2 linked regions of the Xenopus tropicalis genome follow. The protein of the gene in region 1 binds, or shares a complex with, the protein of each later gene. Links are inferred from orthologs where the notes say so. Each region holds a gene or a part of one and is shown on either strand. Other genes may lie near its edges. The genes, in order: matrix metalloproteinase-18 and timp-1.

Region 1 (15,347 bases):
TACAGAATACTTGCAGTAGCTCATAATCACCACTAGATGTCAGTGTTACAGCAGCCCTGAGCATCTAGCAGTTTACATCATATATTGGCGGACGATTCACGCAAAAAACAGAACCGAGTAACATGCAGTTTATGCCCCTTACTGGGGCAGAACAATCCTATTGGGTTTATTTAATGGTTAAATGATTCTCTTTTCTCTGTAATAATAAAACAGTACCTGTACTTGATCCCAACTAAGATATAATTACCCCTTATTGGGGGCAGAACAGCCCTATTGGGTTTATTTCATGGTTAAATGATTCCCTTTTCTCTGTAATAATAAAACAGTACCTGTACGTGATCCCAACTAAGATATAATTACCCCTTATTGGGGGCAGAACAGCCCTATTGGGTTTATTTAATGGTTAAATGATTCCCTTTTCTCTGTAATAATAAAACAGTACCTGTACTTGATCCCAACTAAGATATAATTACCCCTTATTGGGGCAGAACAGCCCTATTGGGTTTATTTAATGGTTAAATGATTCCCTTTTCTCTGTAATAATAAAACAGTACCTGTACTTGATCCCAACTAAGATATAATTACCCCTTATTGGGGGCAGAACAGCCCTATTGGGTTTATTTAATGGTTAAATGATTCCCTTTTCTCTGTAATAATAAAACAGTACCTGTACTTGATCCCAACTAAGATATAATTACCCCTTATTGGGGGCAGAACAGCCCTATTGGGTTTATTTAATGGTTAAATGATTCCCTTTTCTCTGTAATAATAAAACAGTACCTGTACTTGATCCCAACTAAGATATAATTACCCCTTATTGGGGGCAGAACAGCCCTATTGGGTTTATTTAATGGTTAAATGATTCCCTTTTCTCTGTAATAATAAAACAGTACCTGTACTTGATCCCAACTAAGATATAATTACCCCTTATTGGGGGCAGAACAGCCCTATTGGGTTTATTTAATGGTTAAATGATTCCCTTTTCTCTGTAATAATAAAACAGTACCTGTACTTGATCCCAACTAAGATATAATTACCCCTTATTGGGGGCAGAACAGCCCTATTGGGTTTATTTAATGGTTAAATGATTCCCTTTTCTCTGTAATAATAAAACAGTACCTGTACTTGATCCCAACTAAGATATAATTACCCCTTATTGGATGCAAAACAATCCTATTGGGTTTAATTAATGTTTTTATTGATTTTTTAGTAGACTTAAGGTATGGAGATCCAAATTACGGAAAGACCCCTTATCCGGAATACCCTTGGTCCTGCGCATTCTGGATAATGGATCCTATACCTGTACTTGGCTGTATTTACATAGACCTTTCTGATAAAGCTTACTTAGTTTTCACCTTTCCTTCTCCTTTAAAGATATATCATTAAAGATATAAAAATATGTTAAAGGAGAAGGAAAGGCTAGTAAAGAGTTAATCTCAAGCTGCAGGCATACCTTCAGTTCTCTCAATAGTGCCCTTAAGTCTCCCCATATTTCACCCGATCAGAAGCCAAACAGAGAAAAAAAACGCTGAGCTGGGTAGAGAAGATTCCCATAATGCATCGCTTCTTGAAGACTTGGCGACTTGTTACTGCAGGCGGCGCATGTGCACAGGGCAGGAGCGTCCGGTTGCCATGGCGACGCAGCATCGCCGAACTCTGTGACAAGCAGGAGGGGGAAGCGGGGGGCAGGTGCTGTGGGGGTTTGTGGCAGGAGCGGGGGGGTTTGTGGAGCTTGGGTGGGTTTGTGGAGCTTGGGGGGTTTGTGGCAAGAGCAGGGGGGTTTGTGGCAGGAGGGGGGGTTTGTGGCAGAAGGGGGGGGTTTGTGGCAAGAGCAGGGGGGTTTGTGGCAGGAGGGGGGGTTTGTGGCAGGAGCGGGGGGGTTTGTGGAGCTTGGGGGGGTTTGTGGCAAGAGCAGGGAGGAGCGGGGGGTTTGTGGCAGGAGTGGGGGGGTTTGTGGCAGGAGTGGGGGGATTTGTGGAGCTTGGGGGGCTTTTTGGCAGGAGCGGGGAGCGGAGGGGGGGCTGGCTTGTGCTTTTCAGCCCATACAGACACGCTGGACAAGATGGCGGCGCCGTTCACTGAAACAAGTATGTAGGTTCTAGTATGTGTATCTCTGTAAATCTTTCATTAGGCAAGCCAGGAATAGAGCGATTTTACACAGCAATAGTAGTACTATTTAATAGTGTGCTTAATAGGTTTTGACTTTCCTTGTCCTTTAAACAGAATAATAATGCCCTGACTGTAACAGCCTCTACATGGCAGGTAAGTACCTTGGTGGCTTTATCTTTAGATGATTCACTATGGGTATAAGTTTTGTTTGTTTTGGGAGAACATTTTTGACCTGATTGATGGTGAATTACCATCTCTATGGCTTGTAGCAACTGATTAAAGACAAATGCAAAACTATTTCTTGTTGTTTCTTACTCATAAGCTATTACACTAGCCTCATACAGTTGCACCTCCTACAGAAAGGAAATGAGCTTCAGAGCTTGGTTCCTTTTATCTATTAATAACCCAGTTTTCCCATAAGATCTCTATTGGTTTGGTTCCTCAGGGGCTCAGACTACATCCCACTTGTTTAAAGAGTAGATGGAAAATGTAACATCTTAACCCAAATCTTCCTTCTTCGTGTCCCAGAAGGTGACATTGTGCATAGCAAGTTACAGGCATTACTGAGGCTATTTCCCAATCCAGACTTCTCGCTAATAAAGCTACGGTCTCTAAACATCCCATTTCTTACTCATGTTTATTTGAGATGATAACGGAGCCCACTCATTTAATTATATTGACTCATTTGCTTTATCCCATCACAGAATGAGTTAACACCCATAAAGAATTATGTGTTTAATGCTTCTGATACCTTTCTAAAATTCAAAGTCTAGGCTACTAATAGTACAGGTATAGGACCTGTTATCCAGAATGCTCGGGACCAAGGGTATTCCGGATAAGGGATCTTTCCGTAATTTGGATCTTCATACCTTAAATCTACTAAGAAATCAATAAAACATTAATTAAACCCAATAGGATTATTTTACATCCAGTACAGATTAATTATATCTTAGTTGGCATCAAATACAAGGCCCTGTTTTATTTTCACAGAGAAAAAGGAAATTAGTTTTAAAAATCTGAATTATTTGATTAAAATGGGGTCTATAGGAGACAGGCTTTCCGTAATTCAGAGCTTTCTGGATATCGGGTTTCCGGATAAGGGATCCCATACCTGTATATTATATTAATGTCTTTTTATAGCACCACAGATGTATGTATATATGTATGTATAACTTTATTTATAAAGTGCCACAAGGGTACGCAGCGCTGTACAGTCTTACAAAATACAAAATTACACACAGGGAGGACAAGTGTTATAATAAATACAATAAATATATATAAATGCACAGGGAGTAAGTGCCATGTGGCATGAGACACAGTAGGAAGGAGGTCCCTGCCCTGTAGAGCTTACAATCTAAGTGGTTGGGTAATATACAGGCACAAATTGGAAGGTAAGAGTGCATCAGGTATGGGCATTTGCCCTTAAGTGCAGTTTATTCCTTAATGCAGGTTATAAGGAATAAACACAAATGGGGCACATTTATAATAAATTAGTAAATAAATATTTTAGCGTTAGGAGTTTCAGTACACATTTGGGATGAGGTCCTTCCCCTATAGAGCTTACAGTCTATTAGTCATTGTACTATAGCATGGTGCCAAATTCCAAATAAAAGAGCATCTAAGACACGGTTTTCTAAGTCTTTAAACCCCATGGACACCATGGTATTAGACCATGACCTGTTCTTCGCTTTCAAGGTTCCTCCTAGGTCCCAACTTCAAGGTCCTAAAGGCCTGGGGTCCCCGACACAAGCGCAAAGATGAAGATACGTGTGGGGCAGCCAGTGTTTATGGTTGGATTGTTTTTCTTTTGTAACCAACTGAAGCTAACTCTCAGATCTTTCTAAAGGAATCAAGTGCTACATTTGTATTTAATTCAATAAAAAGTGGAAAATGGAATGACTTTAGTATTAGGTTAGGTAAATATTTGTAGAAAAAAATCCAGTAAAAAATTATGGAGAAAAAGTAATGAGACTTAAGCAAATTGTCAGATTATATTGCATGACAGTTTAGTAGGAGACAGCTGCCAAAGGAAATTTTCAATGGAAAGTAGCAACTCATGCAGGGTATCTGGGGCCAGGGCCCTTACACACCTTCGGTTGATATGAGTTTAACATTGCTGTCTTCTGGGGACAGATTAGGACAAGAGTCCCCACTGGTGGAGTAATCAATCCAAGAAACTGCAAGACTCTACCCCTATCCCGAGGGCAGCCAATGTGACATTTTTATTAAGTGGTTGAGAGTAGTCATAATCATTTTATTTATGTGTTTTCTATTCAACAGTATTACACCTGCATCAGCTACTGGGTTAGTGGGATTGAAAGCACAGCCTGTTCCCCAGCAGGTTTTGTTGACCGGGCAGATTTCTCTGGAGTGTGTTGAAAATTGTTCAAGAGCAGCTGCAACAGGCAGGAAGGTTTAGTGAAAGAAATGACAAACATAATAGGAGAAATAAGACAGAAAATAGACAGAGAGAAATGTGTAGCTTGGGTTCTACTTTCTATTTATGTATCTATGTATGTATGAATCTATCTATCTATCTCTCTATCATCTATTTATCTATCTATCTATCTATCTATCTATCTATCTATCTATCTATCTACCATCTATTTATCTATCTTTATTTATCTATATATCTGTCTTTCTATCAATGTATCTATCTATCTATCATCTATCTGTCTGCCTGTCTATCAATCTATCATCTATCTATCTATCATCTATCTATTTATTTATTATCTATCATCAAGCTATCTGTCTTTAAAACTATATCTATCTGGTGTTTTGTTTTTATGTTGCAGTATTAGTATTATTATAGAATAGTGATGAGCGAATCTGTCCCATTTCGGTTCACCGAAAAAATTCGTGAAACGCTAGGGAAATTCGCGATATGGCGAAAAATCTGTGAAACACATTAGTCGGATGCAATTTTTTTTGCTGTGACCCCATGCCTAATTTGACCTTGCCGCGATTTTTTTTTTTTGATACGCAACAAATTGTTTTGCGGCAGATTTTCTCTGAAGTTCTGCGAAACTATTTGCCAATGGCAAAATGCGGAAATTCGCTGAGAATCCAAGCCTGGTGAAAAAATGTGCTCATCACTAGTGCTTCACCCCACCACACCACAACTGTTGTTGTCACCCCCATATCCTTTACCAAAAGACATTTTCCAGCAGACAGAACTATTTATCGACATGTCCAAATTAGGCAGGTTTTTCATATTCAGTTTCTGCTTAAATACATTGATGTTTATGGATTAAAGGGACACTACACCTTCATTTTGGGCAGTGATCCCCAACCAGTGGCTCAGGGGTAACATGTTGCTCCCCAACCCCTTGGGTGTTGCTCTCAGTGCCCCCAAACCCGGGAGTTATTTTTGAATTCCTGACTTGGGGGCAAGTTTTGGTTGAATAAAAACAAGATTTACTGCCAAATAAAGCCCCCTGTAAGCTACTCCCACATTAAATCTATTGTGTTTATAATGCCGTTAGAAGAAGCCAGTGGGTGTGATCTGATGTTCATTGGACAGGATATGAAATCTTTGGGGGCATAAGCTGTCAAATTCCATCCAAAGGACTTGCATGAATCTGCTTGTGTTTTCTCCCAACCTGCGCAAGAAGGTGCCGTACTAAGCACAGTTTTACTGGAAATGGCCCTTTATCTAAAAATGACACATTTTTGGCCTATATATTCTCAAGGGTCACGACTAACATGATCTGTGTTTGTTTTAACTTCTAGTTAGGATTAAAATCTAAAATTGCTCCAACCTACCTAAATGTTGTCCTATATTTAATGAATTGTTAGGAACAAAGAGACTTTTTATAGCTGAAAGATGTACGGGTAAAACTTGTTTTTTCGGATTCAGTCAAATGAGATGTGGCTGTGTGTGCCAAATACAGATTACTGTGGTTCTGTCTTTATAATGGCAAGTGGCTACTTTATGGTGGCCATACACTGGCCTATCTTGTATTGTATCCAGTTAATAATCCCACAGGCAAAATGAATATGATTGGCCGTACATGGTATGGTTACAATTCTATTGTTCTGTGTATTTGGGTTGACAGACTGAATGATGGTAATGGCTGAATAACTGTAATGGCAGAGAGTGGCAAGGAGGTGTGGCTCCACTTTACATCCTCATATACGAATGTACCAGGTATGGGCATTCACAGATAACATTTTTAAAAATGTCCTAGTTAAACCTTCATCCTTTTGTCACCTCATGGAATATCATAGCAGGTTTTCTGCACATGGTATTAATGAAAGAGAGATACAAGGAAATACAGGAACTTTGGCATTTAGAACATCACTTCTGCCCTGTTCATGCCATAGCAGGCACATATAGGTGGCACCGCACCATTTTGGGTGTTACAATGGCAGCACCAAAGGCTGATTCATCTCCATCTTTACCCTAAACATGCGGCTCTCTCATGATTGAAGAGCTCAGTAAATCTTTTTCTGCAAACGCCAAGGCTTATAGACCACAAACTGGGGTTCTCGATTTTTGAGTGACTATACTTGCTTCCCTTGTGTAAGTGAAGAACTCACTATTATATATAAGATGTGTATTGTTTATCATTATTATTAATATTTATCCATATCCCATATGTCTACATTCTACAATGCAGGAAGACATCATTCCTTAGTGACACAATAGAGGCCGATGCCTTTTCTTATGTTATTGCTGCACTGAAGTAAAGGAAGATGGTGCCTCGTGGGATTCTCTATGGGCATTCGGGTGCCTAATGAGAAATACAATAATAGTAGAATAAGTCAACACTAATTACAATGTAGGAAGGTGGAGTTGTGGCCTCCTATTTTTATATGGTCACAGAACTCCTCAGTGTGACTATTTATAACTAAAAGTAACACTATCAGCGGTGTAACTAGCATGCATTGGGCCCCCCGGCAAACACAGTATGTATGTATGTATGTATGTATGTATAACTTTTTCATAAAGTGCCACAAGGGTACGCAGTGCTGTACAGTCTTACAAAATTACACAGAGGGAGGACAAGTGATATAATAAATAAATACAATATATATATATATATATATATATATATATATATATATATATATATATATATATATATATATAATATATATATAAATACACAGGGAATAAGTGCCATGTGGTATGAGACACAGTAGGAAGGAGGTCCCTGCCCCTTAGAGCTTACAATCCAGTGATCCATACCCCAATCTCTCACCTCCCCACCCCTGCTTATGTCTCCATCCTGCCCCCTCCTTACTGGCAGGTAGGCCCTCCTGTCCCCCGGGCCCCCTCCAGCAACCGTGGGGTCTGCTTCCTCTATAGTTACCCCACTGCTGTCTATAGATATTAATGTCTGGCACAAAATTTTCTCTTTAAGCCAAATGCATGTTCACAAAAGAAGTAAAAAATCTATTTGAAAAATGAATAAATTTAATATACTTAATATCAAACATACATACCAAAAATGTAGACAGTATAATATAATAACACAACAACCACAAAAATGTTTATATAAATTAAAAATTTAAGTTAAATGTGAAAAGAAAATAAGGTGCTTCTTGTTCAGTTGGGTGCTCGTGTTGCTGCTGGGGCCTCTGGATTAGCAGTTCAACCAACTGGTGTATTTAAGCAGGCGCAAGACCCTCTTATTGGCTATGCTGAATTCATACTGCCGATTGCCATTGAAGAAATAGAGATTTCCTGAAATATAACATTAGGAAAAATAAATTCAGGGATAACTAGAGCTTATGTACTGCATTGATTTATAACTAAACCAGATGGATCAATAAACTCTGTTTCTAATAATTTATATATATATATATATATATATGTAGTGCAATTCTTCTGATAGCTCCAGATGTTTATTATATGCTAACAATATCAACACTAGAACCTATTCAGGCTCCAAATCTTAGAATAATAAGAGAACTAAAGCCTAAGAGAGGGTATGGCTAGATATGTTCATATACTGAACTTTATAGCTAGCTTAAACTGTAATGCTCCATGCTTAAAGCTGTCCACAACAGCTTCCCACCTCCTAATCCTATTAGGCCATTTTTTGAGTGTCATTGGCTCTGCACATGCTCAGTGTGCTCTGTACTGCTGTTGAGAAGCTCAGTTTAGGGATCATCAAAACATTAACAGAAAGTTACATGTGTAGCGGATGCTACTGGGCTGGTTATTCATCAGTTTCATTCATGCACTAGTTTCTGTAATGCTCTATAATGTGAATCTCAATTAATGACCAATCAGCCTTGCATTGGGATGGGCTGTTAAGGGAGCCCAAAACATAGGGTGTAGAATTTCCAGCCTTATTCTTAATTGAGCTTAAGTTCTCTTTTAATCATATATGAATTAAACAATAAACGTATAAACATATTAAATATTCCTGCTAAGAAAATTCAGTTTTATGGTCTTTACCAAGACACAAAACATCTATGGTTTATTGGCTGATGTAGTTATATGTTATGTAACAATGAAAGTGAATGGGTCTACTCACCATTTGATTGGAAAACTGCTTGCACCTTGTTTCCGACACCTGGGAATCCATTAATGATGCTCTGAGGAGAGTCTTTATCCATTTGTGATCTTCTTTCATCATAGCTATAGGGGAATAATTATTGGTTACAAAGGCTTTGTCTCTTTATGGAATCTATTGCAAGGCAGCCATAAATGCCCAGGATTGGTCTCTTATGAATTGATGCCTATTGCAAAGCCATGAATAAACAGGACTGGTCACGCAGTTTGGTCAGTTTGACCTTACTGTCCAACCTTCATATAGGCTTGGCCACTTCAAAGTTTAGTTTGGACAGGCAACTTTGTATGTGGACAGACTGATGATGTCCCTTCTTAGCTCATGGCTGAGGCATCAGCAGATCTAGGGGTGAAGGGTACCATAGATTTCAGTGATGAGATGGCCAATAATTTTCAACTCAAGCCCAGCCCTAACTTGCTACTTTCCAACCAATGTTTATTGGCAAGGTCAGCCACAACAGGGAAGGGGTAGGCACTATTGCATCACCAAAAGAGAGGAGCCTTGCTTGAGGTTTCACCTGCCACCCTGCCCAAACCTGCACGTGGGTCTCACCATCTTTGTGTGAACCCAACTCAACGAGTGAGTAAGCTCATGGGTTCCATGGGTTTTGGGTCAACCTGCTCATTACTAATAGCTTCCTCCCCCTTCAGCTCAAAACAAACCTTCAGCAGAGCAAATAATTTAGTGCTAGATGTCCTGTGTATAACTTCCTTCAGAAAGTTTTACAGCAGTTACTGACTTACATTTAAATAAATGCATGTCTATGTCTTAATATGGGAGATCTCCCTAAGTCATTTTTTTTTAGAGTTTTATATTTTAATAAATGTTAGTGCTTTTACCTCCAATACTGATTATTCACAAAGAAGTAGGTTTTCCTTGTTTCTTCAACATGAACAGCTGCATCGATTTTCTTTACAGTCTGGGGAAACCCAAGTTGGTAGATGCTCTTAGGGAATCCCTCCTCAATGTCGAAGCCTTTAAGAGCCCAGTATTTGGTTCCTAGGTAAATAGAAGGAGATGTTTTTAATTATTAACATACCCTTAAACGTCCAGCATAATTGTATTAACAACTGAAGGCTAAAAATGGTCATACATACACCATACATACAAGATTCACTAGCTTGGTGAGCTTTGGATCATACAGAAGGTCTACAGTGACCAGACAGATGAGAATCATATCAAACTGGAGTTCTCGCCCAATGTCTGATAGATATCTGACTGATTCTCAGCTATTGGATATTGGTAAGGCAGGCCATGTATGGCCAATGTATAGCCAAGCAAGGGAGACAAGAAACAGGGTCTGGTAGGACAGATGGGACAGGTCTGCAGTATAACAAGGCTAGGAAAAGCCAGTTTGGTCCCTGAGGTACGAGACCTTATTAAGACCATACGGTCTTATTGGAAGGTACAATTTGGTCTAGTAACCCATAAAATCAAACAATAATGTGCAGTTAACAAGCAACCTCATTGTTATTGGTGACTGAGCTTTCCCTAGTTATTTCAGTAGCTGCCCTATAATGAAGTAGATGAAGAATGCAAGGTCTGGATAGAATATCAGTGAAAAAAAGTATAAAATGATGTACCTTTAAAGAGAAAAACTTGATCCTTTTCCTGATTTTCATAGGCTGCCTGAATTCCGGTGGGAAGGGTTTTCCAGAAAGTTCTGATCTCATGCTGCTCAATCTCTGATTTATTGGGGATCTTGCGCCAGAAGGATCTAAATAACAAAAATAAATTGTATTTCTGGAATTTTTCTGGAAATCAAACATAACATTTACCATCCAAGAAACAAAATGCAATTTTACCTGTGTTTAAAGAACAAGATTTCTCCACGCAGTGTTGTTATAGCATCAAATGTTATGTTTGGGGGGCATGTTGTTGGGTTGATTGGTGTTGATGGTTTAGCGGGCTTTTCACTTGCTCCTGTCAATCAAAAGAAGTCATGGGATTTATTTAGATACTGTGTAAACATCTCCGGTATTGAGGTTGTTTTTCTAAAGCATATATGGCATATACAATGCAGCATGTTTCTATAGAAAATGTAAGTTCTAAGATTTTTCTGAAGAAGTTATAGAAAAAATATCTTCTTCCTCAATTCTCTACTTCTACTGCGTCGTCACTGATAGGACCTACGATTGCTGCTATGATTGCTGCTTAGCTGCATTTTAATCATCAGTGCTAATCGTTATTCCAAAGCTTTGGTTTACAACCTCATTCCAAAAAGATGGGTGAGTAAAGGGTTTAACCATTACTTGTTTTACCTCGCTCTGAAATATTAAACAGTCAGGATTCACAAGTAATTGTTACTTACCATACAGTGACTGGATTCCATTGATGTCATCCTGAGGCAGCTGGTATGTATTGGTATCGACGTAATGGTAGGTTGGGTACATAAGGGCATTAGGGTCATTAGAATGGTAGAGCCCAAGGGAATGGCCAAACTCGTGAGCAGCCACAAGGAACAAGTTGAAACCTTCAGAAAAAGTGAAAGTGAACATTAAGCATATTGACTGGTTTATTTTCATCTATCTATCTATCATCTTTCTAACGATCTATTGATTATTACCAACACCAGTTTTAGGGAGTGTATAAGAACCTACCAACTGATCCACTAGTCCAGTTCTCATCTTCGTCAAAATGTGCATCCCCTCCAATGTTGTTTCCAGGAGCGAATGCATGGGCCAGGGTACCATATGGGCCATCAAAAGGATAAAAATCATTATGAACTGTAGAGAAAGAATATTAAGAAATTGATATTTGTAAGGAGAAATTACATACACTGTACAATACATTACATAATAATTTATAAAAAAAAGTCAGGTACCTTGAGCTGCAAATGAGATATCAATATCAGCGACACCATCAAGGATTCTAGTAAAGGTAAGTGGGGTAACATCACTCCAGACCTTGAAAGCCTTCTGAATGGCCCGGTCCACCTCATCTTTGGGCATATCTGGGGTGTAGTTTAGTATTCTGTGGGGAAAGTGTGATTCAATGAATAACGTAATTATAATTCCATAGTATGTCATGAAATGAAAGCTGCCTTTGTTAAATCAAACACGGTTTCAATGCTTTGGTATGAAAATAGCTAGAATTTCAGCCACGAAGTGGAACAGAACTGCTTCTTTTTGGGAGAAAGGATGGAGATTTAGGCATTAAAGCCTTTTCATCAAATATAACATTTTTCAACCATATAAAACATGGGAAGAGGTAAAATTCACTAAGTAGTTGGCAGCAACGTAGGAAAGTAGGATTCAATTTGGCTTCACAGTAACAGTTGTGATGTTTAAGGGGCACATTGTGTACCTGTATGTCAGATCTTTCTTCTTCCAAACAGGGTTTCCAGGGAAGGTCGCAAAATTGCCGACGTCAGAAATCCCACACCGAGGTTGTTGCATCACATCTATGGTTTCCTGATCCAGTGTTCCAGTGACCTCCAAACCATAGAAGTCCTGCATCTCACGGATTTTCTCGGAGAATGCATTGCTGCCCTTCTTTCTTGACTGGCGGATCCCATTTGTCTGAAGGTTGAAGAATTTTTTCAAGAACTCCTGTAAAGATGTAATGGAACGGGTTCAGTTAAACATCCAGCTGCAAGAAACATAAGGTTCTCTTTGGGAGTATTATCCCAGTAGCCTGTACTGTTTGTTATTATTACTTCTTGTGTTAATGTCCAGCCAGCCAGAATGGCTCTTATTACCTATACTAGGCGGAACTTTCTATACTTCAAAATAATCAGTTCCCTATGCCTAGAGCATCCAAATAAGATTTCAAATAATTAGTTGTTTAAACCCAAATGTTCCTTTCATTCTAATTGCTCTTAATGCTCTGAATGCTTGTGTTCTGGAGTTGAAAGTTTTGCTTGCGTCATGAACAGTGACTTGCCCTGAGGCTACCAAAACATTTACACACTGCACATTCCAATAGGACTGTATTTCTGCCCACATTTATCCTAACTTACTTATCATCAAATCCAAAGTACTGCACATTGTATGTAAAGCCAGACAACAACATATTAGATAAATACATAGATAGATAGTTGGATAGTTAGATGGTAGATAATTAAATGGGAAAAAAGAAATTGATACAGAGACAGAATACATAGAATAGATAAATATAAATATATATATATATATATATATATATAAACACAGACAGAATAGATATATAATATATATAGAGGATAAATAGATAGAAAAAAACTTGTAAATATAGATAGATTGATATACAGATAGATAGATGGATAGATTGTAGATATAGAGAAATACTTAAATGAAGACCAATTATTAGGATAACTAACTGACTGTCTATGGATAGATAGATGATAGATAGATAGATGATAGATAGATAGATAGATAGAGGATAGACAGACACAGAGATAGAATAGATAGACAGACAGACAGGTAGACAGAATAGATAGATGATTGATAGATAGATAGATACAGAGATAGAATAAATAATACATATAAGCAAACCAATCTGCTCACCTCAGCAATCTGTCCATCTTTGTTATCTATGTCTGTCTGGGTCCTAGCAGGGAATGCCGTGCAACATGCTATACACAGCAGGAACACAATCCAGGACCTCATTGCTGCTCGTGGCTAAGTAGCTGTTTCTTGGAGCTTATTGCCTCAAAGGTTAAGCTTCCAACCTTGCTCTGACTTTCCATGTGTTGAACATGCCTATTTATATGATACCTGGGTGCCTTGGCCAGCCTGAGCAACATGATTCATCCTTTACAGCTTCCGTTAATTCCATGTAAAAGCATGTTTTTTTTTTTTAAACTGCCAGCAAGTTGTGACACGAATACACAGAGTAAACCCCACCATTGTGCAACATCCCTGCATGATTAATAAAGCATGTTTTGAGTAGAAAGGGGGACAACTTATGTTATGTCTATTAAACCTATAGAGATAGCCTATGGAGATATCCATATTCTCCTGTCAATCATCCTCAGCTCATATACAGCTCAGCCTTTCTGCAATTATGGGATTTGTATTTATAATCATCAAGGCTGCAGCAGCAGATATGTTATAAAGACTCCAAGAAATAACTGGATCCAGTGGTATTACTTTCATTTTATTTATTTTAATGGATCTTATTGAAATTTTCACTGGTATTTCCTCTGAGGGGCCGATTTACTAATCCACGAACGGATTGAAAGCGTCCGAATGCGTTTTTTTCATAATGATCAGTATTTTGCAATTTTTTTGTCATGACTTTTTCGTAAATTGTAGCGACTTTTTCGTAGCTGTTACGACTTGCGCGAATTGTCGCGACTTTTTCGTAGCCGTCGCGAAAAAATTGGAAAGGTTTGCCCGCCGTTTACTAGCGCTCAATACGAAAAAGTCACGACAATTCGTCTTAACGGCTACGAAAAAGTCGCGACGGCGACGAAAAAAACGCAAAAAATATGAAAAAGTCGCAAAATGTTCGTTTCCAATCCGATTTTTTCCCATTCGGGATTCGGATTTGTGGATTAGTAAATCAGCCCCTAAGTGTTTAATATAAAACAACCCTTATAGAAACCGATGTATCAGAAGGAAAACATTATTTAGTCATAGTACAGTAACACCAAATATCAAGATCATAGTATAAGCCCTGGTATTTTTTATTGCAGTTTATTTGTTATCAGTTCTGCAGTTTGTATCAGTTGTCTAAACAGAACTGCACCCAGTCTATTGCGTGACTATAAGCACATATTTCTATAGTGCCACTATATTTCCCAGCACTGTACTACAGAAAGATGTATATATCAAACATACAGATTACATACAAATATTGGCTGATTTAGAAGATAAAGAGTACCCTACTCACTATTATGATCCTGCTTTCTAAAGAATAGTTACTGTATATATTCGAGTATAAGCCTAGTTTTTCAGCACCCAAAATGTGCGATGGGTCCCTCCAGACTAGCACCCTCTGTCCCTTGTGTGCAAATTAGGCCACCCGCAACCAGACCCTCCAGTGCCCTGGCCTAGGCTCCCACTAGCAATACTTATTCCCCCTTACATCTCCTCCGGGACCGGGTCTGCTGCCAGTTTGCCAATGTGCAATAAGCGTGGGGTAGTACTCATATTGTTTTTGTTGACCCTCTTCTCCGCTTACAGAGCTAGTTTACTGTTTTTCTTTGAAATAAATATTGAAAAACATATACCCCACTGATGCCTCAATTAATGTAATTTTATTGGTATTTATTTTGATTATTAAAACTTAGCAGTAGCTGCTGCATTTCCCACCCTAGGCTTATACTCGAGTCAATAAGTTTTTCCAGTTTTCTTAGGTAAAATTAGGTACCTCGACTTATATTCGGATCGGCTTTTACTCGAGTATATACGGTACATAGTTACATAGGGTTGAAAAAAGACCAGAGCCCATCAAGTTTAACCCATCCAAGTAAACCCAGCACCCACAACCCACACCTACCTATCTATCCACTCACATACAGACCCACACTGACCTATCTATCCACTCACATACAGACCCACACTGACCTATCTATCCACTCACATACAGACCCACACTGACCTATCTATCCACTCACATACAGACCCACACTGACCTATCTATCCACTCACATACAGACCCACACTGACCTATCTATCCACTCACATACAGACCCACACTGACCTATCTATCCACTCACATACAGACCCACACTGACCTATCCACTCACATACAGACCCATACTGACCTATCTATCCACTCACA
Region 2 (14,884 bases), on another chromosome or scaffold:
CTCCCCCACATGGCATGGCTCTTATCAGCCAGGGATTAGAGTTGGGCATTCCCTCCCCCACATGGCATGGCTCTTATCAGCTGGGGATTAGAGTTGGGCATTCACTCCCCCACATGCCATAGCCCTTATCAGCCAGGGATTAGAGTTGGGCATTCACTCCCCCACATGGCATGGCTCTTATCAGCCAGGGATTAGAGTTGGGCATTCCCTCCCCCACATGGCATGGCTCTTATCAGCCGGGGATTAGAGTTGGGCATTCACTCCCCCACATGGCATGGCCCTTATCAGCCAGGGATTAGAGTTGGGCATTCCCTCCCCCACATGGCATGGCTCTTATCAGCCGGGGATTAGAGTTGGGCATTCACTCCCCCACATGCCATAGCCCTTATCAGCCAGGGATTAGAGTTGGGCATTCACTCCCCCACATGGCATGGCTCTTATCAGCCAGGGATTAGAGTTTGGCATTCCCTCCCCCACATGGCATGGCTCTTATCAGCCGGGGATTAGAGATGGGCATTCACTCCCCCACATGGCATGGCCCTTATCAGCCGGGGATTAGAGTTGGGCATTCACTCCCCCACATGGCATGGCTCTTATCAGACAGGGATTAGAGTTGGGCATTCCCTCCCCCACATGGCATGGCCCTTATCAGCCAGGGATTAGAGTTGGGCATTCCTTCCCCCACATGGCATGGCCCTTATCAGCCAGGGATTAGAGTTGGGCATTCCCTCCCCCACATGGCATGGCTCTTATCAGCCAGGGATTAGAGTTGGGCATTCACTCCCCCACATGGAATGGCCCTTATCAGCCAGGGATTAGAGTTGGGCATTTACTCCCCCACATGACATGGCTCTTATCAGACAGGGATTAGAGTTGGGCATTCCCTCCCCCACATGGCATGGCTCTTATCAGCCAGGGATTAGAGTTGGGCATTCACTCCCCCACATGGCATGGCCCTTATCAGCCAGGGATTAGAGTTGGGCATTCACTCCCCCACATGGCATGGCTCTTATCAGCCGGGGATTAGAGTTGGGCATTCACTCCCCCACATGGCATGGCTCTTATGAGACAGGGATTAGAGTTGGGCTTTCACTCCCCCACATTGCATGGCTCTTATCAGACGGGGATTAGAGTTGGGCATTCCGTCCCCCACATGGCATGGCTCTTATCAGCCAGGGATTAGAGTTGGGCATTCCCTCCCCCACATGGCATGTCTTATATCAGCCGGGGATTAGAGTTGGGCATTCACTCCCCCACATGGCATGGCTCTTATCAGACAGGGATTAGAGTTGGGCATTCCCTCCCCCACATGGCATGGCTCTTATCAGCCGGGGATTAGAGTTGGGCATTCACTCCCCCACATGGAATGGCCCTTATTAGCCAGGGATTAGAGTTGGGCATTCACTCCCCCACATGGCATGGCCCTTATTAGCCAGGGATTAGAGTTGGGCATTCACTCCCCCACATGGCATGGCTCTTATCAGCCAGGGATTAGAGTTGGGCATTCCCTCCCCCACATGGCATGGCTCTTATCAGCCGGGGATTAGAGTTGGGCATTCACTCCCCCACATGGCATGGCCCTTATCAGCTGGGGATTAGAGTTGGGCATTCACTCCCCCACATGGCATGGCTCTTATCAGACAGGGATTAGAGTTGGGCATTCCCTCCCCCACATGGCATGGCTCTTATCAGCCAGGGATTAGAGTTGGGCATTCACTCCCCCATATAGCATGGCCCTTATCAGCCAGGGATTAGAGTTGGGCATTCACTCCCCCACATGGCATGACTCTTATCAGCCGGGGATTAGAGTTGGGCATTCCCTCCCCCACATAGCATGGCTCTTATCAGCCAGGGATTAGAGTTGGGCATTCCCTCCCCCACATGGCATGGCCCTTATCAGACAGGGATTAGAGTTGGGCTTTCACTCCCCCACATGGCATGGCTCTTATCAGTCGAGGATTAGAGTTGGGCATTCCCTCCCCCACATGGCATGGCCCTTATCAGCCGGGGATTAGAGTTGGGCATTCCAGGTTGTGAGGCCTTTACACATGGCTGGTTCCAGACCCAGTGACCAGAGGCCTGTTATATATCTCTTTCTGGCACATTTCTGGAAGATTTTGGGATACCTTGGCCTGCTTGATTAACCCTTACAGGCCTATATCATGACACCCAGCGTGGGTATAATAGTGCCCAGAATGCCCAGCGTGGGTATAATAGTGCCCAGAACACCCAGCGTGGGTACAATATTGCCCAGAATGCCCAGCATGGGTATAATAGTGCCCAGAATGCCCAGCGTGGGTATAATAATAGTGCCCAGAATGCCCAGCATGGGTATAATAGTGCCCAGAATGCCCAGCGTGGGTATAATAGTGCCCAGAATGCCCAGCGTGGTTATAATAGTGCCCAGAATGCCCAGCGTGGTTATAATAGTGCCCAGAACACCCAGCGTGGTTATAATTGTGCCCAGAACACCCAGCGTGGTTATAATAGTGCCCAGAACACCCAGCGTGGGTATAATATTGCCCAGAACACCTAGCGTGGGTATAATAGTGCCCAGAATGCCCAGCGTGGGTATAATAGTTCCCAGAACACCCAGCGTTGGTATAATAGTGCCCAAAACACCCAGCGGGAGTATAATAGTACCCAGAACACCCAGCGTGGGTATAATAGTGCCCAGAACACCCAGCGTGGATATAATATTGCCCAGAATTCCCAGCGTGGGTATAATAGTGCCCAGAACACCCAGCGTGGGTATAATATTGTCCAGAATGCCCAGCGTGGGTATAATAGTGCCCAGAAATCCCAGCGTGGGTATAATAATAGTGCCCAGAATGCCCAGCATGGGTAGTGCCCAGAATGCCCAGCGTCGGTATAATAATAGTGCCCAGAATGCCCAGCATGGGTAGTGGCCAGATTGCCCAGCGTTGGTATAATAGTGCCCAGTATGCCCAGCATGGGTATAATAGTGCCCAGAATGCCCAGCATGGGTATAATAGTGCCCAGAACACCCAGCATGGGTATAATAGTGCCCAGAATGCCCAGCGTGGGTATAATAGTGCCCAGAATGCCCAGCATAGGTTGTCCCCAGAATGCCCAGCGTGGGTAGTGCCCAGAATGCCCAGCATGGGTATAATAGTGCCTAGAATGCCCAGCGTGGGTAAAAGTGCCCAGAAAGCCCAGCGTGGGTATAATAGTGCCCAGAAATCCCAGCGTGGGTATAATAGTGCCCAGAAATCCCAGCGTGGGTATAATAGTGCCCAGAATGCCCAGCGTGGGTATAATAGTGCCCAGAAAGCCCAGCGTGGGTATAATAGTGCCCAGAATGCCCAGCGTGGGTATAATAGTGCCCAGAACACCCAGCATGGGTATAATAGTGCCCAGAACGCCCAGCGTGGGTATAATAGTGCCCAGAATGCCCAGCGTGGGTATAATAGTGCCCAGAAAGCCCAGCGTGGGTATAATAGTGCCCAGAATGCCCAGCGTGGGTATAATAGTGCTCAGAATGCCCAGCGTGGGTATAATAGTGCCCAGAATGCCCAGCGTGGGTATAATAGTGCCCAGAACACCCAGCGTGGGTATAATAATGCCCAAAATGCCCAGCGTGGGTATAATAGTGCCCAGAATGCCCAGTGTGGGTATAATAGTGCCCAGAATGCCCAGCATGGGTATAATAGTGCCCAGAATGCCCAGCGTGGGTATAATAGTGCCCAGAATGCCCAGCGTGGGTAGTGCCCAGAATGCCCGGCATGGGTATAATAGTGCCCAGAATGCCCAGCGTGGGTATGATAGTGCCCAGAATGCCCAGCGTGGGTATAATAGTGCCCAAAATGCCCAGCGTGGGTATAATAGTGCCCAGAATGCCCAGCGTGGGTATAATAGTGCCCAGAATGCCCAGCGTGGGTATAATAGTGCCCAGAATACCCAGCGTCTGTATAATAGTGCCCAGAATTCCCAATGTGGGTATAATAGTGCCCAGAATGCCCAGCGTCTTTATAATAGTGCCCAGAATTCCCAGCGTGGGTATAATTGTGCCCAGAATACCCAGCGTGGGTATAATAGTGCCCAGAATGCCCAGCGTGGGTATAATTGTGCCCAGAATACCCAGCGTGGGTATAATAGTGCCCAGAATGCCCAGCGTGGGTGTAATAGTGCCCAGAACCTTTGGTACTGATCCATTTCTGTATTGGGAGGGGGGGAGGGAGGGATCCTGGGTACTGATCCATTTCTGTATGGGGGAGGGGGGGAGGGATCCTGGGTACTGATCCATTTCTGTATGGGGGAGGGAGGGGGGAGGGATCCCGGGTACTGATCCATTTCTGTATGGGGGAGGGGGGAGGGATCCTGGGTACTGATCCATTTCTGTATGGGGGAGGGGGGGAGGGATCCTGGGTACTGATCCATTTCTGTATGGGGGAGGGGGGAGGGATCCTGGGTACTGATCCATTTCTGTATGGGGGAGGGGGGGAGGGATCCCGGGTACTGATCCGTTTCTGTATGGGGGAGGGGGGGAGGGATCCTGGGTACTGATCCATTTCTGTATGGGGGAGGGGGGAGGGATCCTGGGTACTGATCCATTTCTGTATGGGGGGGGGGGAGGGATCCCGGGTACTGATCCATTTCTGTATGGGGGAGGGGGGGAGGGATCCCGGGTACTGATCCATTTCTGTATGGGGGAGGGGGGGAGGGATCCCGGGTACTGATCCGTTTCTGTATGGGGGAGGGGGGGGGGGGATCCCGGGTACTGATCCGTTTCTGTATGGGGGAGGGGGGGGGGGGGATCCCGGGTACTGATCCATTTCTGTATGGGGGAGGGGGCAGTTATCCCGAGTTCTGATCCGTTTCCTTCTCTTTCCAGTTCTCCCAGTTGGTGCGGTTACACAGGAAGTTGGGGCCGGACGACTTCCCTCTCATAGAACAGACTTATTACCCCAACCATAAGGAGATGGTGAGTCACGGGGCGGCGGCGGCTGGGAGTCATTTCCCTGGGAATTAGCTGCCTGTGCTGTGACCTGAGTAGCCCTCTGGGTAGCCCCGCCCCCCTGGGTAGCCCCGCCCCCATACTCTCTATGCCATGGAATGTGCCCTCAAATCCCCTGCTGGGCAGCACACATGGGGCACGGGGAGCACTCAGGTAGATGGGGGGAGGCTTTGGGGGTACCCAGTATTCGGGACCCCCGTGTGTATAGAGTAAGGATATGCAGATGCTGGAGACATTGTACAAAAACCATAAAAAGACATTTATTTCCCCCGGTACAAAGGGGACGTGCACTCAAATGTACAAACCAACTCCTCCCCCTTAAAGTGGCCCCTCCCATTATCCCCCACGAAGCACCCCCCCCCCCAGGTTATTCTGCTGCGGAACCCGACGCTGCCGCCTTATTCCGGGCAGCGATGGCGCTGGGTTTCTGGGACTCCCACGAGCACAAACCGCTGCCCTGGTCCACACACGCCATGTACTTGGACTGGGACCCATTCAGGGGCTCCATCCAGTTCACCAGTACGTCGGTCCAAAGGCACTGGTTGTCGGACTCCAGGGAGCAGGTACCACTGTAGCAGGGCACAATCTGTAGGGGGGGGAAAGAAATGCCCAGTTACTATCAGCCAATAGAAATCCTCCCCTAGCGACCCACTCTAATGGGGGCAATAGGGATCTCATAGCTACTGCAGTACCAGTCCTGGGCACTAGGGGGAGCAGGTACCACTGTAGCAGGGCACAATCTGTAGGGGGGGGAAAGAAATGCCCAGTTACTATCAGCCAATGGAAATCCTCCCCTAGTGACCCACTCTAATGGGGGCAATAGGGATCTCATGGCTACTGCAGTACCAGTCCTGGGCACTAGGGGGAGCAGGTACCACTGTAGCAGGGCACAATCTGTAGGGGGGGGAAAGAAATGCCCAGTTACTATCAGCCAATGGAAATCCTCCCCTAGTGACCCACTCTAATGGGGGCAATAGGGATCTCATGGCTACTGCAGTACCAGTCCTGGGCACTAGGGGGGGGCAGGTACCGCTGTAGCAGGGCACAATCTGTAGGGGGAGGAGAGAAGTGCCCAGTTACTATCAGCCAATGGAAATCCTCCCCTAGTGACCCACTCTAATGGGGGCAATAGGGATCTCATAGCTACTGCAGTACCAGTCCTGGGCACTAGGGGGAGCAGGTACCACTGTAGCAGGGCACAATCTGTAGGGGGGGGGAGAGAAATGCCCAGTTACTATCAGCCAATGGAAATCCTCCCCTAGTGACCCACTCTAATGGGGGCAATAGGGATCTCATAGCTACTGCAGTACCAGTCCTGGGCACTAGGGGGGGCAGGTACCACTGTAGCAGGGCACAATCTGTAGGGGGGGGGAGAGAAATGCCCAGTTACTATCAGCCAATGGAAATCCTCCCCTAGTGACCCACTCTAATGGGGGCAATAGGGATCTCATAGCTACTGCAGTACCAGTCCTGGGCACTAGGGGGGGCAGGTACCACTGTAGCAGGGCACAATCTGTAGGGGGGGGAGAGAAGTGCCCAATTACTATCGGCCAATAGAAATCCTCCCCCAGCGACCCACTCTAATGGGGGCAATAGGGATCTCATAGCTACTGCAGTACCAGTCCTGGGCACTAGGGGGGGGCAGGTACCACTGTAGCAGGGCCCAATCTGTAGGGGGAGGAGAGAAGGGCCCAGTTATTATCGGCCAATAGAAATCCTCCCCTAGTGACCCACTCTAATGGGGGCAATAGGGATCTCATGGCTACTGCAGTACCAGTCCTGGGCACTAGGGGGAGCAGCTATATAGGTCAGCAAACAGAATGGGAAACTGCATGGCAAGACACAGGGGGGTTATGGGGGGAGGCTCACCCCTATTGGAGGGCACAATATAATATGGGCTGGTCAGTGAATAAAGAGAGGGTCCGGGTGGGGGCAAGACAGGATTGGGAGGGGTAACTTGCCCCACGGCTACTCACACTGCAGGAACAGGACTTGGGATAGACCTCCTGGAAGCCCTTCCTCTGGGCGACCGATAGTGAGGCCCAAGGAACGATGAAGTTGCACTGGTCGATTTGCAGGTTACCGTTCATCACGTGCCCTGGGCAGGGGCAATAAAGAGATTGGCATCAGGGGGCGTGTTGGTAGAGAGGCGGGGTTGATACTTGAGGGGGGCAGGGGATTGATACCAACCCCAGCAGGGCACATGGGGCATTCTCTTCACTGCAGCTGCCAATCACCCACTAACTGTTCCCCCTTCTGCCCCATCCTCTTCCTCCCTGTGCCACAGCCCTTACAGCATGGTGCTTGGGTGTTAGAGAGCGGGGCAGAGCTCTTACCTGTGATGAGGAACACCTACCCCCCCATCCCCTTCTGCTGCCCCATTCCCTTCCTCCCTGTGCCACAGCCCTTACAGCATAGTGCTTGGGTGTTAGAGAGCGGGGCAGAGCTCTTACCTGTGATGAGGAACACCTATCCCCCCCATCCCCTTCTGCTGCCCCATTCCCTTCCTCCCTGTGCCACAGCCCTTACAGCATAGTGCTTGGGTGTTAGAGAGCGGGGCAGAGCTCTCACCTGTGATGAGGAACACCTACCCCCCGTCCCCTTCTACTGCCCCATTCCCTTCCTCCCTGTGCCACAGCCCTCACAGTATAGTGCTTGGGTGTTAGAGAGCGGGGCAGAGCTCTTACCTGTGATGAGGAACCCCTATCCCCCCATCCCCTTCTGCTGCCCCATTCCCTTCCTCCCTGTGCCACAGCCCTCACAGTATAGTGCTTGGGTGTTAGAGAGCGGGGCAGAGCTCTCACCTGTGATGAGGAACCCCTATCCCCCCATCCCCTTCTGCTGCCCCATTCCCTTCCTCCCTGTGCCACAGCCCTCACAGTATAGTGCTTGGGTGTTAGAGAGCGGGGCAGAGCTCTCACCTGTGATGAGGAAGGCCTGGCTCTTGTTGGACATTTTGTGCTCGTAGCCGCACAGACTCTCCATTGCCGGGGTGCTCAGGAACTGGATGTCGTCCATTCCGTCGGGGGCCTTGAAGATCTATAGAAAAGGGGAAAGTGTTAGTGGGGGGGTGCAGGGGCAGCAGTAACAGGGAAGTGGGGGGGGGGGGGGGGGGGGCACTTACCTTAGTAGTTTTGACCTCATACGTCACTCTGCCCGGTTCTTCCGCCTTCTGCTGGGTTTTGCCGATGAATCTCGCCCGGATAACTGCGCAGAGACAGGGGGGTGAGCGGGACGAGCCAATGGAGAATCATCTTTGTACATAGCCCCGCCCAGCTCAGAGACGTTTATTATAAGACGGGAATTCCTGGTGCGTTTCCCTAATCTATAAATAACTGCCCGGCTTCCTGTTGTTGCCCAATGTGAAACTGGCACAGACGGTGCGAGAGAGCCGCCCGGGGGTAGTTACTGGGTATTGGGGCAGAATAGAGGCACTAGTGCCACGTGTGCCTGACTTACTGGCCGGGGGGCTACCAGGGGGAATCCTGTGCCCAAACCAGTTTGCACGTGGGGGTGAGAATGAACTCGGCACAGTGATGTGAGTGCACTCTCGCCCAGCCCGGGGGCTCACACGTAGCTGTCACATTCTGTCTGTCTCTCAGCACCCACACACTGAGCAGTCACCCCCTCCCCCCCTTGTAGCCCACCTACTACCTGAGCCTGGGGGTCTCCCTGCACTTGCTGCCATACCCCTATTATCATTCTCCCCCCCCCCCTGTGAATAATGTTGTTTTTAAAGGGCAAGTATAACCGAACAGTCACATTAACACATATAACTGGAATATAAAGTTCCATCTAGTTGCTTCTGGTCCTGTCCCATAGCAACAGTGCATACGTTCTGCCCCAGTTCAGAAATATATGTTTGGGGCTGTGGCACACTGGGCACTTTCAGGGCCCCCAAATCCTCCCCCCGTAGCCTTGCATTGATATCAGCTTGTGCCCTGCTTGCAGACTTTTTACCCCCCGCAGGGGCAGGAAATTGCTGATTACGACATTTTTAAGCCACAGTCATGTGACTCCTGGGTTCCGGCAATTTAGGGTTTAGTTGCCCCCACCCCATGAGCTGGAAATCACTCAGTAACCATCAGTTGCCCCACTGCCCCTATTATACCATTAGTTAGAATGGGAGCCCATACGGAAAGTAGGGGGTGCTGTGAGCCCTTTCTCCACATACCCCCCCCCCCAAAACAAACATTTGTATGAGAACACTCACCAAAATCTGCGTTGCAGTATGCAGACTGGGGGTGCCTTTGTCCACAGCTGCACCCCCACACCCCCTGGCTGAGGCACCCCAGAACCAGCAGAACCACAAGGCCCAACATGATATCAAACTGCAGGAGGAAAGAGAGGAGTTAGAGGTGTGGGGGGTAAACAGGCAGCAGCAGGGGGAGAGGGGCAGAATGAGTAGGGAGGGAGGGGTGAGATGGCGCTGTATTTGGCTTCCCCGCCCCCCCAGCTAGGGAGTCAGGCTGTCTGCAGAGGGGGGCAATGAGAGCTATTTTAGCTGTTAAGGGGTACAAGCAGGTGTGTTCTAAGGAAGCAGGGAGGGGATAGATTGTTAGCTCTTGGTGCAAGTAAGGGAGCAGGGAGGGGATAGATTGTTAGCTCTTGGTGCATGTAAGGGAGCAGGGAGGGGATAGATTGTTAGCTCTTGGTGCAAGTAAGGGAGCAGGCAGGGTAGATTGTTAGCTCTTGGTGCAAGTAAGGGAGCAGGGAGGGGATAGATTGTTAGCTCTTGGTGCAAGTAAGGGAGCAGGGAGGGTAGATTGTTAGCTCTTAGTGCAAGTAAGGGAGCAGGGAGGGTAGATTGTTAGCTCTTAGTGCAAGTAAGGGAGCAGGGAGGGTAGATTGTTAGCTCTTAGTGCAAGTAAGGGAGCAGGGAGGGTAGATTGTTAGCTCTTAGTGCAAGTAAGGGAGCAGGGAGGGTAGATTGTTAGCTCTTAGTGCAAGTAAGGGAGCAGGGAGGGTAGATTGCTAGCTCTTAGTGCAAGTAAGGGAGCAGGGAGGGTAGATTGCTAGCTCTTAGTACAAGTAAGGGAGCAGGGAGGGTAGATTGCTAGCTCTTAGTGCAAGTAAGGGAGCAGGGAGGGTAGATTGTTAGCTCTTAGTGCAAGTAAGGGAGCAGGGAGGGTAGATTGTTAGCTCTTAGTGCAAGTAAGGGAGCAGGGAGGGTAGATTGTTAGCTCTTAGTGCAAGTAAGGGAGCAGGGAGGGTAGATTGCTAGCTCTTAGTGCAAGTAAGGGAGCAGGGAGGGTAGATTGTTAGCTCTTAGTGCAAGTAAGGGAGCAGGCAGGGTAGATTGTTAGCTCTTAGTGCAAGTAAGGGAGCAGGGAGGGTAGATTGCTAGCTCTTAGTGCAAGTAAGGGAGCAGGCAGGGTAGATTGTTAGCTCTTAGTGCAAGTAAGGGAGCAGGCAGGGTAGATTGTTAGCTCTTAGTGCAAGTAAGGGAGCAGGCAGGGTAGATTGCTAGCTCTTAGTGCAAGTAAGGGAGCAGGCAGGGTAGATTGCTAGCTTTTGGCGCAAGTTGAAAGCATCTGCGTACCTGATGGCAGGGCAGTCAGTCCGTCTGTGTCTCTCACAAGTACATCATTGTCTGTGCGGCTCTGGAATTTAAAGCTCCTCGCAGCCCCTCCCTGCCGTGATGTGATTGGCTCAGGGCCCAGGGTCTGTCTTTATTACTCAGAGATTTCAAAACATGAAGAAAGGGAAGTGGCTGGGAATTATAATGAGATTTGCCATCGGGGAAACCATTAACCGTGACGCAACTCGACTGCCATTTATCCCCAATCTCCCCATTTCTGTCATTCTCTATTTATTTATGTTCCCATCTTGCCATTTATATCCCCCCTTTCCATTTATATCCCCCCTTTCCATTTATATCCCCCCTTTCCATTTATATTCCCCAGTTTCCCATCTATATTCCCTTCTTCCATTATATTCCCGTTTCCCATTTATATGCCCTGTTTCCCATTTATATGCCCTGTTTCCCATTTATATGCCCTGTTTCCCATTTATATGCCCTTGTTTCCCATTTATATGCCCGTTTCCCATTTATATGCCCTTGTTTCCCATTTATATGCCCTTGTTTCCCATTTATATGCCCTGTTTCCCATTTATATGCCCTGTTTCCCATTTATATGCCCCTGTTTCCCATTTATATGCCCTTGTTTCCCATTTATATGCCCGTTTCCTATTTATATGCCCTTGTTTCCCATTTATATGCCCCTGTTTCCCATTTATATGCCCCTTTTCCCCATTTATATGCCCCTGTTTCCCATTTATATGCCCTTGTTTCCCATTTATATGCCCTTGTTTCCCATTTATATGCCCCTGTTTCCCATTTATATGCCCCTTTTCCCCATTTATATGCCCCTGTTTCCCATTTATATGCCCTTGTTTCCCATTTATATGCCCTTGTTTCCCATTTATATGCCCCTGTTTCCCATTTATATGCCCCTTTTCCCCATTTATATGCCCCTGTTTCCCATTTATATGCCCTTGTTTCCCATTTATATGCCCTTGTTTCCCATTTATATGCCCCTGTTTCCCATTTATATTCCCCAGTTTCCCATCTATATTCCCTTCTTCTCATTTATATTCCCTTCTTCCATTATATTCCCGTTTCCAATTTATATGCCCCTGTTTCCCAATTATATTTCCTTGTTTCCCATTTATATGCCCCTGATTTCCATTTATATGCCCCTGTTTCCCATTTATATTCCCCAGTTTCCCATTTATATTTTCCCATCTATATTCCCTTCTTCTCATTTATATTCCCTTCTTCCATTATATTCCCGTTTCCCATTCATATGCCCCTGTTTCCCAATTATATTTCCTTGTTTCCCATTTATATGCCCCTTTTCCCCATTGATATGCCCCTGTTTCCCAATTATATTTCCTTGTTTCCCATTTATATGCCCCCTTTCCCCATTTATATGCCCCTGTTTCCCAATTATATTTCCTTGTTTCCCATTTATATGCCCCTTTTCCCCATTTATATGCCCCTGTTTCCCAATTATATTTCCTTGTTTCCCATTTATATGCCCCTTTTCCCCATTTATATGCCCCTGTTTCCCAATTATATTTCCTTGTTTCCCATTTATATGCCCCTTTTCCCCATTTATATGCCCCTGTTTCCCAATTATATCCCCTTGTTTCCCATTTATATGCCCCTGTTTCCCAATTATATCCCCTTGTTTCCCATTTATATGCCCCTGTTTCCCATTTATATCCCCTTGTTTCCCATTTATATGCCCCTTGTTTCCCATTTATATGCCCCTGTTTCCCATTTATATCCCCTTGTTTCCCATTTATATGCCCCTGTTTCCCATTTATATCCCCTTGTTTCCCATTTATATGCCCTGTTTCGCAATATTATCCCCTTGTTTCCCATTTATATGCCCTGTTTCCCAATAATATCCCCGTGTTTCCCATTTATATGCCCCTGTTTCCCATTTATATGCCCTTGTTTCCAATTTATATGCCCTGTTTCCCAATAATATCCCCTTGTTTCCCATTTATATGCCCCTGTTTCCCATTTATATGCCCCTGTTTCCCATTTATATGCCCCCTTTTCCCATTTATATGCCCCTGTTTCCCATTTATATGCCCTGTTTCCCAATAATATCCCCTTGTTTCCCATTTATATGCCTGTTTCCCATTTATATGCCCCCTTTTCCCATTTATATGCCCCTTTTTCCCATTTTTATGCCCCTGTTTCCCATTTATATGCCCCTTTTTCCCATTTATATGCCCTTGTTTCCCATTTATATGCCCTGTTTCCCAATAATATCGCCTTGTTTCCCATTTATATGCCCCTTTTTCCCATTTAAATGCCCCTGGTTTCCATTTATATGCCCTGTTTCCCAATAATATCCCCTTGTTTCCCATTTATATGCCCCTTTTTTCCATTTATATGCCCCTGTTTCCCATTTATATGCCCCTTTTTCCCATTTATATGCCCCATTTCCCAATAATATCCCCTTTTTCCCATTTATATGCCCCTTTTTCCCATTTATATGCCCCTGTTTCCCAATAATATCCCCTTGTTTCCCATTTATATGCCCTGTTTCCCAATAATATCCCCTTGTTTCCCATTTATATGCCCCTGTTTCCCATTTATATGCCCATGTTTCCCATTTATATGCCCCTGTTTCCCATTTTTATGCCCCTGTTTCCCATTTTTATGCCCCTGTTTCCCATTTTTATGCCCCTGTTTCCCATTTATATGCCCTTGTTTCCCATTTATATGCCCCTTTTTCCCATTTATATCCCCTTGTTTCCCATTTATATCCCCTTGTTTCCCATTTATATGCCCTGTTTCCCAATAATATCCCCTTGTTTCCCATTTATATGCCCCCTTTTCCCATTTATATGCTCCTATTTCCCATTTAAATGCCCCTTTTTCCCATTTATATGCCCTGGTTCCCAATAATATCCCCTTGTTTCCCATTTATATGCCCCTTTTTCCCATTTATATGCCCCTGTTTCCCATTTATATGCCCCTGTTTCCCATTTATATGCCCTGTTTCCCAATAATATCCCCTTGTTTCCCATTTATATGCCCTGTTTCCCAATAATATCCCCTTGTTTCCCATTTATATGCCCCCTTTTCCCATTTATATGCCCCTGTTTCCCATTTATATCCCCTAGTTTCCCATTTATATGCCCCCTTCTCCCATTTATATCCCCTAGTTTCCCATTTATATGCCCCTGTTTCCCATTTATATGCCCCAGTTTCCCATTTTTATGCCCTTGTTTCCCATTTATATGCCCTGTTTCCCAATAATATCCCCTTGTTTCCCATTTATATGCCCCTTTTTCCCATTTATATGCCCCTGTTTCCCATTTATATCCCCTAGTTTCCCATTTATATGCCCCTGTTTCCCATTTATATGCCCCTTTTTCCCATTTATATGCCCTTGTTTCCCATTTATATGCCCTGTTTCCCAATAATATCCCCTTGTTTCCCATTTATATGCCCCTGTTTCCCATTTATATGCCCCTGTTTCCCAATAATATCCCCTTGTTTCCCATTTATATGCCCTGTTTCCCAATAATATCCCCTTGTTTCCCATTTATATGCCCCTTTTTCCCATTTATATGCCCATGTTTCCCATTTATATGCCCCTGTTTCCCATTTATATGCCCATGTTTCCCATTTTTATGCCCCTGTTTCCCATTTTTATGCCCCTGTTTCCCATTTTTATGCCCCTGTTTCCCATTTATATGCCCTGTTTCCCAATAATATCCCCTTGTTTCCCATTTATATGCCCCTTTTTCCCATTTATATGCTCCTATTTCCCATTTATATCCCCTAGTTTCCCATTTATATGCCCCCTTCTCCCATTTATATCCCCTAGTTTCCCATTTATATGCCCCTGTTTCCCATTTATATGCCCCAGTTTCCCATTTTTATGCCCTTGTTTCCCATTTATATGCCCTGTTTCCCAATAATATCCCCTTGTTTCCCATTTATATGCCCCTTTTTCCCATTTATATGCCCCTGTTTCCCATTTATATCCCCTAGTTTCCCATTTATATGCCCCTGTTTCCCATTTATATGCCCCTTTTTCCCATTTATATGCCCTTGTTTCCCATTTATATGCCCTGTTTCCCAATAATATCCCCTTGTTTCCCATTTATATGCCCCTGTTTCCCATTTATATGCCCCTGTTTCCCAATAATATCCCCTTGTTTCCCATTTATATGCCCTGTTTCCCAATAATATCCCCTTGTTTCCCATTTATATGCCCCTTTTTCCCATTTATATGCCCCTGTTTCCCAATAATATCCCCTTGTTTCCCATTTATATGCCCTGTTTCCCAATAATATCCCCTTGTTTCCCATTTATATGCCCCTGTTTCCCATTTATATGCCCCTGTTTCCCATTTATATGCCCCTGTT

What was found.
Region 2: the proteins of matrix metalloproteinase-18 (region 1) and timp-1 are in contact, whole or in part, in a crystal structure (PDB 1UEA), measured with the Homo sapiens proteins. The link is inferred for Xenopus tropicalis from reciprocal best matches to the Homo sapiens genes MMP3 and TIMP1. Residues at the interface, in NP_002413.1 of Homo sapiens: Phe100, Thr102, Phe103, Phe171, Tyr172, Gly178, Asn179, Val180, Leu181, Ala182, His183, Ala184, Tyr185, Ala186, Thr207, Thr208, Gly209, Thr210, Val215, His218, Glu219, His222, Phe227, His228, Tyr237, Pro238, Leu239, Tyr240, His241, Ser242; in NP_003245.1 of Homo sapiens: Cys24, Thr25, Cys26, Val27, Pro28, Pro29, Val52, Thr56, Leu57, Tyr58, Pro87, Ala88, Met89, Glu90, Ser91, Val92, Cys93, Thr121, Cys122, Leu156, Ser157, Pro159, Gln173, Leu174, Gly177, Glu179.

The regions. Positions count from the first base shown.
Region 1 is NC_030678.2:161,718,400-161,733,746, reverse strand, and holds matrix metalloproteinase-18, read right to left. Parts: upstream 13,306-15,347; 5' UTR 13,226-13,305; coding exon 13,124-13,225; intron 12,188-13,123; coding exon 11,943-12,187; intron 11,610-11,942; coding exon 11,461-11,609; intron 11,363-11,460; coding exon 11,237-11,362; intron 11,110-11,236; coding exon 10,948-11,109; intron 10,560-10,947; coding exon 10,442-10,559; intron 10,354-10,441; coding exon 10,220-10,353; intron 9,636-10,219; coding exon 9,476-9,635; intron 8,705-9,475; coding exon 8,601-8,704; intron 7,802-8,600; coding exon 7,701-7,801; 3' UTR 7,510-7,700; downstream 1-7,509. UniProt on the Homo sapiens protein: Metalloproteinase with a rather broad substrate specificity that can degrade fibronectin, laminin, gelatins of type I, III, IV, and V; collagens III, IV, X, and IX, and cartilage proteoglycans.
Region 2 is NC_030684.2:1,437,802-1,452,685, forward strand, and holds timp-1 (uncharacterized protein LOC100135142 precursor), read right to left. Parts: upstream 10,550-14,884; 5' UTR 10,521-10,549; intron 9,310-10,520; 5' UTR 9,301-9,309; coding exon 9,192-9,300; intron 8,186-9,191; coding exon 8,103-8,185; intron 8,018-8,102; coding exon 7,900-8,017; intron 7,077-7,899; coding exon 6,955-7,076; intron 5,565-6,954; coding exon 5,346-5,564; 3' UTR 5,217-5,345; downstream 1-5,216. Other genes in the region: syn1 (synapsin-1), read left to right, coding at 4,856-4,945. UniProt on the Homo sapiens protein: Metalloproteinase inhibitor that functions by forming one to one complexes with target metalloproteinases, such as collagenases, and irreversibly inactivates them by binding to their catalytic zinc cofactor.